2 linked regions of the Lonchura striata genome follow. The protein of the gene in region 1 purifies or fractionates together with the protein of each later gene. This does not show direct contact. Links are inferred from orthologs where the notes say so. Each region holds a gene or a part of one and is shown in the gene's direction. Other genes may lie near its edges.

Region 1 (7,746 bases):
GTGCCAGCCCCTACAGGCTCACTGTAAAAAGCAGTGAGGAAGGAGCCTGGGTTAGCAGGAGTAACAAATATCTTTACATTTCCCTGCTAGCTCAACAGAAGCACCACTTGAGCAGCCATGCCCACAGCTCCAGTGACAAACTGATTCTAGAGCCAAACGTTTGCCAACAGAGACAATAAGCTTCTTTATACCCTGAAGTTATTTATACCAAGGCTGCCAAACTGAAATGCACTCAAAACGAAGAAAATGCTTGGCAAACCGAGAGGACAGATTCAATAAGTGATCATAAGCAATGATTTTAAGAAAATAATGAGGTTGTATAACAGATTAACAAAACTCAGGAAGAAACATCACATTTAAGTGCTCTTCAGAGCACTTCAAGATAAAACCTTGATGCAAAATGCACCAAAATCTTACAGTAACATAATATCCTTAATTAGCAGTCATCCTACCTAATGCTTCCAAAATTATCTACTCATCAGTTTTTTGTACACAAGAAAATTACAAAATTTACTGGTTTGAGATGTTAACTAACCAAATAATCAACATCCTGCTTGCAGAAATCTTAATGTAGAACACTAGTTTGGTTAAAAATCTGGCTGAAAAAGTTCCCCCTTAAAATAGGAAATGTAAAACTGTTCCAAATGTTAAAGATGCATTTTTTACCTAGACAATAAAAATTATAAAAAGTTTATATAAAACATGAGCTAGTAAATTATCTTGCATAATTTTAGTACTTTTTATGATTCAGTATGTGCTTTGTGCACAATAAATTCTGTATTTTGTTTACCTACAGAACAGGTTTTATGAACAACCAAAATCTTCAACCTTACACTCCGTAGTCTGTGAAACTTCCCTTTAAAGTCTCAGCCTGATTCTTTGAACTGCTTAGTGGTAGGAAAGAGTCATTTTTAGCTCAAGAAATTGGTACCTAGACAGGGCCTCTTTGGTGAGGTGTTCCAGCAGCTCATGTTCATCTCCAAGTTTACAGTAGGAGAGATCCAAACACGTCAGCTCCCGGAAAGACTTAATTTCTTCAAGCTTTTCAGAGATAACCAGGTACCTGCAAAGCCAAAAAAAAAAAAAAAAAAAAAAGCCCTCAGTGCTCAGGCATGTAAGTCCACATCCCCAAGTGCCATAAGCACAATGCACTCGTTTCTGCCAAGTACCTATGCGAAAATTGACAGAAATTACCCAGCTGCACTAAGTACCTCTTTATGTGCAGCTGGCACACAAGTCTGAATTCCCAGTCTTCTCCTTAAATCACTGTCATGGTTTAGATTTGATTCAACTTGTAAATATTGCTGTTAGGAGCTTCTTTACAGATTATTGCTGTATTATTTCAGAATAATGCAAAATGTCTCAGTTTATAGTCAGTTTCACAAACTGCTCTTCCTAGGAAAGGTACAGACAAACCCACATTCATCCAGGTTTAAAATCCACCTCAAACATGGATTTTAAACAGGACAGGATAGCCTTTCAGTAGCAAAATTTTAGTTTTTATATATGTCAATAAAATGCTTGAGTAGAGGTAGAAGTCCAGGACTGGCCAGAGCTGAGGCAGCAGTTACTCTGGGTTTTTTTTCAGCTGTGCTGGTTCCCTGGTGTGATTCACTCAGCAGCCACGCAAACATCTGTGCTGGAGCTATTCAGTAGGAGGTTCAGAGATGGGAACAAACCACTGAAGAATGGCAGGCATGAGTATGCAGTAATGAGCACGTAGCCCTCAGTACCTCCCCTGCAGTCACCTCTTGCTGTCCCTGTGGCAAGACAAGCTCCAAATTCACTGATACCTCCTGAATTTACCTTGTATTCCCCATGGCAAGACACACCCTGAGGTCAGCATCTTCACTGCATATACTGGGGGTGATTATTAACCTGATCCCTCCAAGAACACCTCTTTGTCCATGCAAACAAGAGGACCTTAATATCATCCCAGTGTAATTGTACCCCTCAAACCACCCCACTCAAACCCCTTGCCTGTGCAATTTGGCTCTGCAAAAAGCACAATAAACAGAGCATAAGCCAGTTCTCGAGAGAGATTATTAGCTCAGGGGGGTTCTGGAGAGTGGGCTCTTAGAAATAAAATTCATCAGAAAATGCCTTAATGCCTTACTTCCTGGATTTCAAAGACTTGATGCTTAACTCAGCTTTCTGTAATGGCAAAAGATGCCAGAAGTAGCTTAATTTCTAAATTAAGCCCATAAAATTATCTGTGCTAGAGATAAAAAGGGAGAAGGTTTAAAGGATAAAACAAAGGATAATTGACTTCTACTCAAACATTCCCACTGTGCTCAGAACACCCTTGGTACTTCAGATGAATATGCCAGTACTTTGATTTTAAACTGGATAAACCATCCCTTTTTCAAGTGTAGAGATGGAAGAGAAGGGTTCTATTACTGGGAAAGACTTCAGTAGGAGCAAGGCTTTAAAAACATAATCCAGTTTTAAACTTGGCAAGACTCTTTCAGTTAAAGATGTGGGCACTGAGAAGATGGAAAAACTAGTGCCGAACTGTAATCAGGACCTCGTTAAAGTACAGCCAATATGGGGTGGTAACAAGGTAAAATCTGCTTGATTTTAAAGCCTGCAACTTACCAACAAGTCTGTATCTTCTTCTGAGCCCTCAAAATGAGACATATCAGAAAGCTTATAGTTAGTAAACCTGAACAATTTGCAGGGGTGTATTTTATCTGTACAGTCAGCTAAGTGTGTTGAAAAGCTTTTAAACAGCAATTAAAGAGACATCCCATGAAATACCTGAGAAGGCACTCAGCACACGGATTTCCACAGAAGTTATTATTATTGTTAAAAATAGTTGCAGGTTTAATCTTCCATATAAGATCCCCTGTTGGTTAAAGCAGAGGCAGTCTGTTACCTCTGTTATGATTTGTATCTTAAAATGAAACCTACAGCTTCACTTGTAGGAAAGGGATGGGATAAAAGCACAAGAATCAGATAGTGCTCAGGGCATTTAATTAATGTTACGTGGTGTTGTAAGGCTAAAATGTATTTTTATTTAATTTAATTTAGGGGAAGTTTGAAGTGTGCTAGCAGAAGACAAGATTTGTTAGGGGACACACTTACCTGTTCCGCAAGCACAGTGAGCACAGCACCAAACTGCCATAGGCTTCAGTGAATTTCTGCAGAGCTCTCAGTCCTGTCACTGGCTCTGTGAACTTTTGTCTTGCTTCTGCTGCTGAAAAGAGCTTTTCAGCAATCTGCTCTGGGAAACCAATCAACGAGTCAATGTGATCTACATTGTCAGAAATGTAACCCAGCACTAGGCTGAAGAGGGACTTGGCCGAGTAGCGGAGGTTCCCCTCCTTGGTGTAGGTGAAGATGAAATGATCAGTCCTCTGCCTCCTTGCCCTATCATCCTCCCTGTTCATGCAAAGCTCCACTGAAAAAGTTCTGGAAAACAGACTGAAAGGTCTTGCTTTGGGAGTGACATTCTGTACGCTGCCTGCACCCCGATTTACCACATGCAGCTTCCCATTTTCACGCACGTATATTGGCCCAGTATCCAAATGGCTTTCTGAGTGGAGACAGTACGACATTCCCCTCGACCAGCTCTGTAAAAACAAATCACAGACAAGTGAAGAACAGCCACAGTCAAAAACATGACCTAGGGAAGCCCCCAAAGCTGGCAGCTCCCCTTAGAGCCCTGAGCATGGCCACGTAGCAAGGAGGGCAGGCTGTGTGGAGCAGGGGCGTGAGCTGCCTGCCACCAAACCACCCACCCCATCCGAGTGGGAGCTGGACCCCGGGCTGGCTGAGACCCCCGGGATAGATCCCAGGCCCGGGATGGAGACAGGGGCAGCGGGAGAGGGGTTGAGTGGGAAGTGCCCGCACAACCAGGCCTGGTTCTCCTGCAGGCAGGAGAAGGAGGAAGAGGAGGGCACATGTCTGACTGCAGCTGGGCAATGGAGCCTGCTGGAACCTCCCTCCCGGGGAGGGTGGGCATCTCCCGGCGCCCCTTCCCCGGTGCCGGGGGGCTCTGGCTGGCGAGCGGGTCTGGGGGGGGCAGGAGAGCTCAGACCTGCCCTGGCGAGGGGCAGGGCAGGGACAGGATCCTCTCGCCTCCCGGCCGGCGGGGCTGGCGAGCGGGCCCTGCCCCAGGGGGGCCGGGGGTACCGGGACGGATGGGGAGCCGGGTGCGAAGGGATGGGGTCCAACCCGGAGAGGAGCTGGGAAGGGTCTGCGAAGGGATCGGGCTGTGCCCGGGGCTGAGCGCGCCGTGAGCGGGCACTGCCCCGAGGGGCACCGGGGGAAGGGCACCGGGGGAACGGGCACCGGGGGAACGGGCACAGGGGAAGGGCACCGGGGGAAGGGCACCGGGGGAACGGGCACCGGGGGAAGGGGCACAGGGGGAAGGGGCACGGGGGGAAGGGCACCGGGGGAACGGGCACCGGGGGAAGGGGCACAGGGGGAAGGGGCACCGGGGGATGGGGCACCGGGGGAAGAGCACCGGGGGAAGGGCACAGGGGGAAGGGGCACCGGGGGAAGAGCACCGGGGGAACGGGCACAGGGGGAAGGGCACAGGGGGAAGGGGCACCGGGGGAAGGGCGCCGGGGGAAGGGTCCCCACCCCGCCCCTCTCCGCCCGGGCAGGGAGGCCAGAATCCCGCTGGTTCCCCGATCCCCCCGGCCGCCACCTACCTGCCCCGGGAGGGGCCGCGCCGTCAGCCAGGCCGGGGCTCGGCGCTCCCGCCCCGCGGCGCCCGCGGGCGGCGGGCGGGGCCGCGCGGGCGGCGGGCGGGGCGCAGCGGGGCCCGGGGCAGCGGGGCCCCGCCCGGCCAGCGGCGGGCCCGGCTCCCCGCGGCGGCCGCGGCCGCAGGGGAGGAGCCGCCGCGGTTGCCCGGGAGCGGCAGCGCCGCGGCGGGCGATGGGAGCCGCCGACTGGTGCCGGAGCTCGGCGGGGGCCGCGCTGGTCCTGGCCACGTCCAGCGATGCCGAGCACCCCGCCGAGAGCGTGGCGGACGGGTGAGGGCGGCGGGGGCGGCGGGAGCGGAGCCCGCCGGGCGCGGCCCTCGCCCTCCCGCTGGAGCCGCCGCACGGTGGGAGAGCTCGGCGCCCGCCGCCGTCGCAATCCTGTGCGGGGCCGCCCCAGAGAGCGGCCCCGTCCTTGTACAGGGCCCTGCTGAAAGCACCCCAAATAAAAATGCATCCCCCTTCCTTTCCCCCCTCTTTCCCCTATTCCTTTTCGTCCCTCTCCTTCCCTTCCTCGCTCTCCCCCTGTTTTTCCACCCTTTTCCACCCTTCTTCCCCTCCGCTTTTCCCCTTCCTTTCCACTCCATGTTTTTCTGTGGTATATTTCATTCAAGATGGTTATAGATGGAAAGCTTCAGTTGAGGATTTTGTTCTGTTCTCTCTACAGAAGTTCCAAAACATTTTGGACGACTACGGGCATGTTCCCACAGGAACTGATTATTGGATTTCCCAAATGTGTAAAAATCAGCAAAGTCGCCATCCAGTGTTATTTGGGTAAGACTTTGTGTCTTGCCATAGGAAATATGTGCTATATTAAAATGCGTGTCTGTGCCTTAAAAGTTCCCACAGTAGTGTCATAGTCGGTATGTAGCCACTTTTAAGAGATTTGTAAACATTTAATTTACATAAAGATTTAATTTTGCATAAAGATTCATTTTCATAAAGCAATTGTCCTTTGTATCCACAATCCCCATAGCGTAGAGAAAAAAAAAATTAGTTAATGCTCTGAAAGTGTTTTGTGGTTGTAAAGTGATGGAATAGATATCAGTGTCAATAAAGAATCAGAACTTGTGTTGATATTTTGAATTGATATATATTTTAGTGCGGACCTTAAGGATTGAAAGAAGCACATCTAAGGACCCTGTGGGTTTTGAACAATGTGTTGAAAAAGGTAAGACTGAGTTTGTGGGCTTTTTGGGGGGCAATGTTTTTTTCAGTGAATCACTGTAACCCCTCATCTATTTGTTGAGTAAAGTGTGGGGTGATGATTATTTTATTAGACATTAATGTAACAGTCACATTTAAGTGAATTTTTTAACTGCTGGTCTCTGCAGCAGTTCAGAGAGTAAACTGCTGTATAAGGGCTAAAAGTGCTACTTGTGCACTTTATGTTCCAAAAATTAAAAACAGGCTTACATAGTATAATAGAGTGCCATTTCCTGGATTGTTTGGCTTGGGGATTGGCTTTTTTTAGTGCCTCTTGGGTGACTTTGTTATAACACTGTAATGAGTGGGATGTATATATACATACACAGACTGGGATACTGCAAAAATGTATTCTCTTAAATCACCTGTAAAAATAAAAAAGAACAATGTCTATATGTAGCGTAAATTCATTGTCCTTGAACTCACTTGAACTCTGAGTCCAGTGAAAACTTCACTGCATTGCACATTGTTCTTCATTGTTTACCTTAAAATATATTTTGTAGATTTGCAGCACAGAGAAGGACAGCTACAAATGGAAGAATTTACAGTGAGTATTTGCAGTGTACATCAGTAGTGGTTCATGAAATGGCATGTCTGGATTGAGTGGGGAGAAACCATAAAGAAACCAAATGTGTCTCTATTTACAATTATTGCTCAGTTGGTGTTAAAGGGAGGAGTTTGTAGATTGTGGTGTGAAATTGCACTTCCCAGCTGCTCCTCTGTAGATTATGCTATGAAATTGTACCTGCCTAGTGCTCCTAATGAGGTGCAAGGGCCCTTTCCAGAAATGTGGCAATTTCCTCTCCTTCAGTTGCTGCCTTTAAGGCTACAGAATTCAGGAGGTGATGGGATTTTTTTGAGTTGCAGGTCAAAGAACTTGATTTATGTGCAGTTCAAGAAGGAACCCTGAAGTACCCAGATCCTCGTGTTTAACAAACTTTTGCAAATGTGCTTTGGTGGTTTTGTTACTACAGAGGATGCAATGACATTTTATTCCTTCTGCAGCTTCCTGAGTTCCAAGCCACTTACTTGCGCTTCATCATCAAATCTGGCTTTGATCACTTTGTGTCAGTGCACCGGGTGATGGCAGAGGGCACAGCAGAGAACACTTGAGCCCAGCTTAAGTTTGGGCCCCCACTTTATTTTTTTATAAGGAAGTTAAATTTCAATACCTGCACTGCAGAGAATGTTTATTATTAGAACCTTGTATTAAAGTGGTTTTGGAAGGTATGGATGTGGTATATATTCCTTGCTGGTTTAATGTATGGAATAGGATAGAAGAATACAGATAATAAGATCATCAAGTCCAACCACAACACAGTGCAGTTGTTAATTGTAGTAACAGCTTTTTCATTTTGTAACCTAAACTGTCAGCCTGGAACACCTGAGCGTAACTGAGTCCATTTAAGGTAGTGTATTTGTATCAGGTTTACATAATACATTAACTAAAACTTAATTTCCTGTAAAATATTTCCCTTGCACTCTGAGTTAAATAGGAAAAAAAGTTTGAGCTACTTAAGTGGGATGTATTACTTCCACTGTCAAACAAGTTCTTCAGAAGTCCTTAAGTTGCTAACTCTCTGATCAGCTCAAACTCAGAGATTGTTAGAATGAATATAAATGTCTGCTAATGCTTAGAAATAACCTGGGGGAGAGAGGCAGGGAAGGAATGGAAATAATCAGAATCCAAATGAAGTGTTTTTATAGGCTTTTAATAATTATACATCAGTCCCTTGTTTCTATAAATATTCTCTAGAATCAGGTCACAGCCACCAGTGCTTTAGGCTGGGACCATCATAACAAATACTCATAGAAACAGATGCTGATA
Region 2 (6,906 bases), on another chromosome or scaffold:
ATCTATATAATGGAAATAAAGATCCTCATCTCTCCTGGGAAGGATGTTGAGGCCACAGATCAATAAGAGTTGAAGTCCTTGACAATCTGTTGGCATCAACAAAGCAATAAGGTTTTGTATGAGCTGTTCCTGTTGATTCCAGAATAGGTTTCCTGAGAGAGACTGAACTGAGTGTTACCCACAGACTCATGACAAAGAGCAGGGCTGCACTGCACCCCTGTCAATGCACCTTAATGTCCTGTTTCCCTTTGGTCTCTTGCCATAGCTACACCCAAAGATTTTTCCAGAGAGCAGCCACACTTCATCCAAACCATCATTTACTTAATCAGCTACGCTTTGAGCCCCAGAGACACATCCCTGCCCTGAGCTGCTCAACCAACAAGCTTTGAGATTACAATATTGATTTTCTCCTTCATTTTTAATAACAGCCTACAATGCTCAAAAATAGGTGTTCCTTCCTCTCAGTCCCTGTATTCCATGCCTTGCCTCCAGGTGAACCAGTATCTGTCTGCACCCACTGAAGAGCTGTTTCTGCACACACACAATAAATGTCATGCAACACACAGCAAGCAGGCAGAGCCTGCCCTTCATGGTGAGCTGTGCCATGTGGTTGTATTTCTAAGCCAGGCAGCATTTTCACACACAACTGGAATGCTCCAGGGTATGTTTCCCAAAGTTTGGAAACATTGCTACAGTACATTAAACAAAGCACCAATACTGAGCCACAAAAGCTTATGAAAAATTTTTTTGAGTTGTTTTCATAGGAAAATTTTTATGTGCCACATTAAATGAAATACAATGCAAACTTAAAATACTGAAAGGCTGAATGGTTTGCAAGTGCTCAAGTATTATCTAAAAGCTGACTGGCAATACATTTTACTGCTGCTTCCAGTAAAACCAGTGGTCTCTGCCTTGGAGGCAAATATCCTCTGATCTGCAATTCAGGCAAAAAGCATCACTTGCCCTCATACAGCAATCACTGCATCTCTCACTCAAGTTCTTACTGGCATTTCTAGAGCATAGAAAAGCTTTATTAAAATATCATTGATATCTTGCAGTGGCTTTTGAGGGGTAAAAGGAGGATTTTACAAAGAAAGTCACCTGAAGATGATAATTTTTGCTTGCTACCGAAACATTATGGTGGAAAACCTGCCATCTAATAAATGCAAGACATAAAGACCATTACCAGCATTTTCTGTAGTTCAATGTAAATAGATCACTTATTGCTGGGGTTTCCTCCCTACTGCAGTCTGACAGGGAGTTTTAAATCAGTGAAGGAAAATGATTCACACACATGTGCTCTCAGCAAACAATACACCAGGCACTAACATAGCTTTACCCATATGCCTAAGGCAGATGCTGATAACATCAAATGTACTTGACTTAGATGCCTTTGAAAACAGTTACCCTAAGTGGCTTGAAAGCTTAATTCCCACTTTCTAAAGTCACTTCAAACCCTAAATCACATGGATAAATCCAAAAATTGCACCCTTAGTCGGCTCTGCTCTCCTTACTCTTCAGTGGCTAATATAAACATACAAAAACCCTATCTGACACTCCATCTAAAAATTAATCCTAATTGCTTTCTGGGCAGCAGCACAGACAGCCAGTTTTACCCAGTTTCAGTTACCTCTTATGCATTTTTTTCCCTTCTTCTGTGCTGGTGTCCACAATAGGACCCTTTATAACATATTTCTCTTCATGTGCTAGTGTCAGCTAATACCATAAACCAGCTGAGGCTGTCCTGGTTCTTCTCTCTGGGCCACCCTTTCTGTCTTTCCTTTGGAAGTTAAGGGTCTGAAATGTGGAAAACAACAAAGCTGTGGAAAGAATTAACTATGACTTGTCCCAACTCATTGTGAATTTGGTCCTGAATCATGCAGAACACAAACAGAAAGCACACATCCAGTCTGTTACAGCAGAATCAAGTTCACAGGTAGTTGCAGCTACTGCTTTTTCATTGTCTTAGTCCCAAAAAGCTGAAAAGAAAGGGCTTTGTGATATTTAAAATATATGTGAACATCAGGATGCCACTGCCACACTGAACCACTGTAAACTATCCCTACACAAGGAGTGAAACAACAAATGAGTCTCCACTGTGACAGAGTAGACTGTACCCCCTCAGTGAGAGCAGAGCATTTCTGGTTCACATTTATTAGCAGTACTGGTAATAAACATTTACACTGTGGTAGCGCCTAGAGGCCCTGTTTGAAAGCTTGTCTAGAAGTGCTATTGTACCTGGGCACTAAACAGCTCTGAAGCAGCACATCTGTCTGCCAGATGTTTTATTTTCTTAGAAGCTGCTATTTCAAAAAGTCTCTTGCCTCTCCTAACAAGCCTTAATAAGAATCTTCAAGAGCTTGGCTTCATCATCCTTCCAAGGAGAATCTGCTGTTAAAACTGCAAAGAAACAAGGAAGGAGAGCACTGCTGGAGCTAGTGAGGGACACCAGGGCAATGCAGAATGGTCTGAATTCCACATTGACAGAGGGCTCTGGAAGAGGGCACTGACCTCTGCCTGTTTCATCCCTCCAGGGCTGCCCTCCACGGCACTGGGGGCCAATGTAGGAGCAGCATTGCATGGATGTGGCCAGCAACGGGGTGCAGCAGTGAGCTTGGTGGTCTCTATTCCATCCTTCATTGACTTTTGGACCCTGAAAGTTAGCACAGGAGTGATGGGCTTTATCTTCTCATGGTTCAAAGATTGGTATCTATGGGCAGAAAAACAGTTTGAGAGGGACTTTGCACTTTCTCCCACTTCTGCCCTCAAAAGCCATCAGCTGTTCCTGCTCTGGTCAGTGACAGGGCTCACACAACTCAGTGGTTGGAAATACTGTCTCCTGCTGAAAGGAGCAGCTGGGGAATGTCAGGAAGATTTCCTCCTTACCGAAGCGCCCTGGGCCACAGCAGCACATACATTGTGAAGGATCCCTTTGCTCTTTTGCTGTGACACCACATTTGTTCCAGCAGACCTATGAGCAGGCTGGGCAGAGCAGGGGAACAGAGAGGGAACAATGGGGACAACGCACACAGAATTCACAGAATGACCGGGTTGGAAGAGACCTTTCAGATCAAGTCCAACCCAGTCCCTACACCTCAACTAAACCCTGGCAGCCAGTGCCATATCCAGGCTTTGTTAAACACACCCATGGATGGGGGGACTCCACCACCTCCTCGGGCAGACGATTCCAGCACTTTATCACTCTTTCAGTAAAAAACTTTTTCCTAATATCCAACCTGTATTTCCCTTGGCGCAGCTTAAGACTGCGTCCTCTCGTTCTGTCAAGCAAGGACAGCGCGGGGACAGAGCAGGGACACGGCGAGGACACACGCTGCGGGCACAGTCTGGGGACACCAAGGGGACACTGCGGGGACGGAGGGAGGACGCAGGGGACGGAGCGGGGACACTGCGAGGGCGGCGAGGCGACATGAGGGGGACGGAGGAGTAAAGAGAGCGCGGAGGGAGCGGTCACAGAGCGCGGGCACAGCGCGGACACGGGCACAGCGCGGAACGGGCACAGCGCGGGCGCGGGCACAGCGCGGGCACAGCGCGGACACGGGCACAGCGCGGGCACAGCGCGGGCGCGGGCACAGCGCGGACACGGACACAGCGCGGAACGGGCACAGCGCGGGCGCGGGCACAGCGCGGAACGGGCACAGCGCGGAACGGGCACAGCGCGGGCACAGCGCGGACACGGGCACAGCGCGCCGCCCACAGCCCGAGCGCTGCCGCCCCTCACGGCGCGGCCCGCGCCTCCCGTCACGTGAGCGCGGCAGAGCCAATGGGCGCGCTGGCGCCGGTTGCCGGGCAGCGCGCGCGGGGGCGCGGCGCGGCCGCCATGCTGAGGGCCAAGGTGCTGCTGGTGGGGCCCCGTGAGGTGAGCGCGGCCCGGAGCCCCAGCGAGGGAGGGAGGGAGGGATGGCGCGGGGAGCTTGGGTGAGCTGTAGTCTGGCACGTTAAATTCCTGTGTGTGTGTCTGTGTGTCTTTCACCCCCGCGTTGTGCCAGTCGGGCAAGTCGGTGCTGGCCAACTTCGTGTCCGAGAGCACGGAAGGGATCTGCAGCTACAGCCCCACGCAGGGCGTCAGGTGAGCCAGGGCCCCGCGCCCCCTGTGCCGCCCGCGCCATCGAGCCCACGCGTGTCCGTCATCTCCGCAGGATCCTGGAGTACGAGAAGCCCAGCCTCGGCGGGAGCAGCAAGGGAGCTGGCTGTCGGTTCGAGCTCTGGGACTGCAGCGGTGATCAGAAGTAAGCCGGCATTGTTACTTCCTCCAGGTTACTGAAATCCTGATAGATCTGTTTACAGCATATTCTTAAAGCTCAAGCCAATGATCTGTTTGATATGAAGACAATTCCTGACTCTTTACCCCAATATATTTTTATAGTTTTTGTTGTAAAGCATCTAACACTAGGTACACTCTGCCGTGATAACCCCTGAACTCTGTTTTGGATAAGGACTGACTCAAACAGTAAAGTCCACAACTCCTGGAATGAAGTTACAGATACAGGAGACAGAGGCCCACTCTGTGATTGCCTTCATCTCCGTTAAATTATGTGAATGGACTTCAAACAACATGTGCATATGATTGAGGCCTTAATTTCTAAAATGTAATTGTGAATGATCCGTTCTTAGGGAAATGTTTAATTAAGTTAAAATGAGCATTTGACGAAAGTTTAATTAAGTTAATGAGCATTTGACCAAATTCTACATTGTCAGAAAATCATCAAATTAGAAAATCACGAGATCAACTGTCACAATAGATAAGTCAAAATACTTGGAATATGATATATAGCTGGCATGGTTACTGATGTTGTAGTTAAAAAAGTACTTAATGTGTTCTTGAGAAGGGGAAAAAACTTGAGGAAATTTGAGTGCATGTTTCTGCTCTACAGCGCTCAGTCTTTCAATTCTCTGTGTTTTTCAAGGTTTGAAACATGCTGGCCAGCTCTGATGAAGGACTCTCATGGTGTAATAATAATCTTCAACCCTGAGCTGCCCAGCCACCTGAAAGAAATCGAGATGTGGTACTCATGCTTCGTGCAGCAGCAGCCACTGCTTGACAGTCAGTGTCTCCTGGTGGCACATCACAAGCCAGGCAGTGCAGGGGACACAGAAAACCTGTCCTTGGGTAAGGAGATGGAGAACTCCATTTGTAGCTCAGAGCTTTTCATTGATCTTTGTGACTTCAAATTTGTTAATACTTCATGGTTTTTTCATCTAAATCTGTTGATTAAAGAGCACTAAAGTGCTTTGAAAAAGCAGAAATAATGGATTTCAAAGGTGAGCAATATTCCTGTTTCTGGGAATGGGGAAGGGAAAGTGTCAGTGGCTTCTCCAAGTGTATATGCAGCTGAACCAGAAATTAGAACTCCTGCCTTATTTCCTTATGAGATGTAGTTTGGTTCTTACATTGGATTTTTTTTTTTTTTTTTTTTGTGTAACAGACACCCTTTAGGGCATTTAAGTCTGTATTTTGCCAGCCAAAAGAACAGGAGCTCTTCAAAATAAAAGGCAAATGAGCTGCATCTTAAAATTAGCAATAGGTACCTTAGATACTGCAGAATTATTTGTGACTATTTATGGCTGTGAAAACACACATTCCCTTCTGGGCAACCTGTTTAAACAAGGACATGTTTGTTATAAGTATTAATATATTAATACATATTTAATACAACAATATTATTCCATAACTTCTTTGAAGTAATCAAAGAGTATCATATCACTTTAATAATAAAACTGTAGTTCAGTGCTCAATTTGTTTAATTCTGCTTAACTGAATATGAGACCAAAACTAGACTTTACACTTGAATAATAATAAATTTTGAAGAATTTAATCTGGCAATAAGCTATATTTGTTTGCAACACTGACAAACTCTGCTGCATTTCTCCTTGCCCTGTTCTGTGTTATCTGGGGTGTCAAACATTGTGTGCCACTGAATTCCAGCTGAGCTGTTTCATGATTGTGACTATTTCTAAGAAGAATATACCTAATTATTCTTATTTATTTTCATAGCTTATCCACTGAACAAGCTAAAATTGATACATTCCAACTTAGAGGAAGATCCTGAAGATGTTCGGATGGAATTTATCAAATACTTCAGAAGCATTGTCACCATAATAAATGAGAGCAGAGAGAGGGAAGAAATGTCAATTATCTCATAATATTAAAAAATATACTGAACAAGGAAGAAAAAACATTATTTTCCCTTTGTAAGCTATATTAGCCTGTGAACAAACCGTCCCTAGGAGAATTTTCTAGGCTACAAATACTTCAGTCTGTCAAGAGGGTCTGACATCAAGTGAACTGTGGTGCCAAGGAGATGGCTGCACATCCAGGAATCCGAGTGCAGTTTTGTAGCTGCGCTTTGGTATCAGAGGCACAGGAAGGCGTTTCCATGTTGCTGTGGCCCAAAATACAAAGGTTTGGGTCATGTCTTCAGAATTCCTCTGTGCAGGGCTGCTTGGAGAAGAAAGCCTGACAGAACATAAGACTGGAGTTCTGCTGAAGCACCTGGGCGAGGTGCTCATGTTAGCTGGAGAAGGCTTGTCTTTGGAAGTACAAACTGATTGGAATAGAGATCTAAGAAGTGATGGTGTAGAATCCATGTTTTTATGTTCCAAGTTGTCCTTGTCGTTCCCTTGAGGAGAGCACATTGCACAGCCATTGCCTTGGCAGGACAGAGCAGGCTGCAGTCTTTCCCAAGACTAAGTTTTTCTTCTTTTCCAACAAAACAAACGTGTTGTGAGGACACTGTTTAGGTCTCTCTGGGAGGAAGGAATTGAAATCTTGGTTTAATGCAATATTCTGACTTATATTAGGAGCTCAAATAAGTTCTGAATTCTCCAGAGGAGGAAAAGCTGTTTCAAAACTTTACTGTTCCCTGTTGCATTGAAATAAATGGTTTC

What was found.
Region 2: the proteins of IFT25 (region 1) and IFT22 purify together in Homo sapiens (affinity purification with mass spectrometry; 3 studies listed by BioGRID and IntAct, with this or other methods). This does not show direct contact. The link is inferred for Lonchura striata from reciprocal best matches to the Homo sapiens genes IFT25 and IFT22.

What each region holds. Positions count from the first base shown.
Region 1 is NC_134611.1:8,997,034-9,004,779, forward strand, and holds IFT25 (intraflagellar transport protein 25 homolog), read left to right. Parts: upstream 1-4,830; 5' UTR 4,831-4,887; coding exon 4,888-4,985; intron 4,986-5,379; coding exon 5,380-5,486; intron 5,487-5,814; coding exon 5,815-5,883; intron 5,884-6,421; coding exon 6,422-6,465; intron 6,466-6,923; coding exon 6,924-7,031; 3' UTR 7,032-7,148; downstream 7,149-7,746. Other genes in the region: LRRC42 (leucine-rich repeat-containing protein 42), read right to left, coding at 932-1,063, 3,088-3,560. UniProt on the Homo sapiens protein: Component of the IFT complex B required for sonic hedgehog/SHH signaling.
Region 2 is NC_134622.1:4,872,499-4,879,404, reverse strand, and holds the start of IFT22 (intraflagellar transport protein 22 homolog), read left to right. Parts: upstream 1-3,800; 5' UTR 3,801-3,838; coding exon 3,839-3,877; intron 3,878-4,007; coding exon 4,008-4,087; intron 4,088-4,157; coding exon 4,158-4,247; intron 4,248-4,925; coding exon 4,926-5,128; intron 5,129-6,013; coding exon 6,014-6,162; 3' UTR 6,163-6,906. UniProt on the Homo sapiens protein: Small GTPase-like component of the intraflagellar transport (IFT) complex B.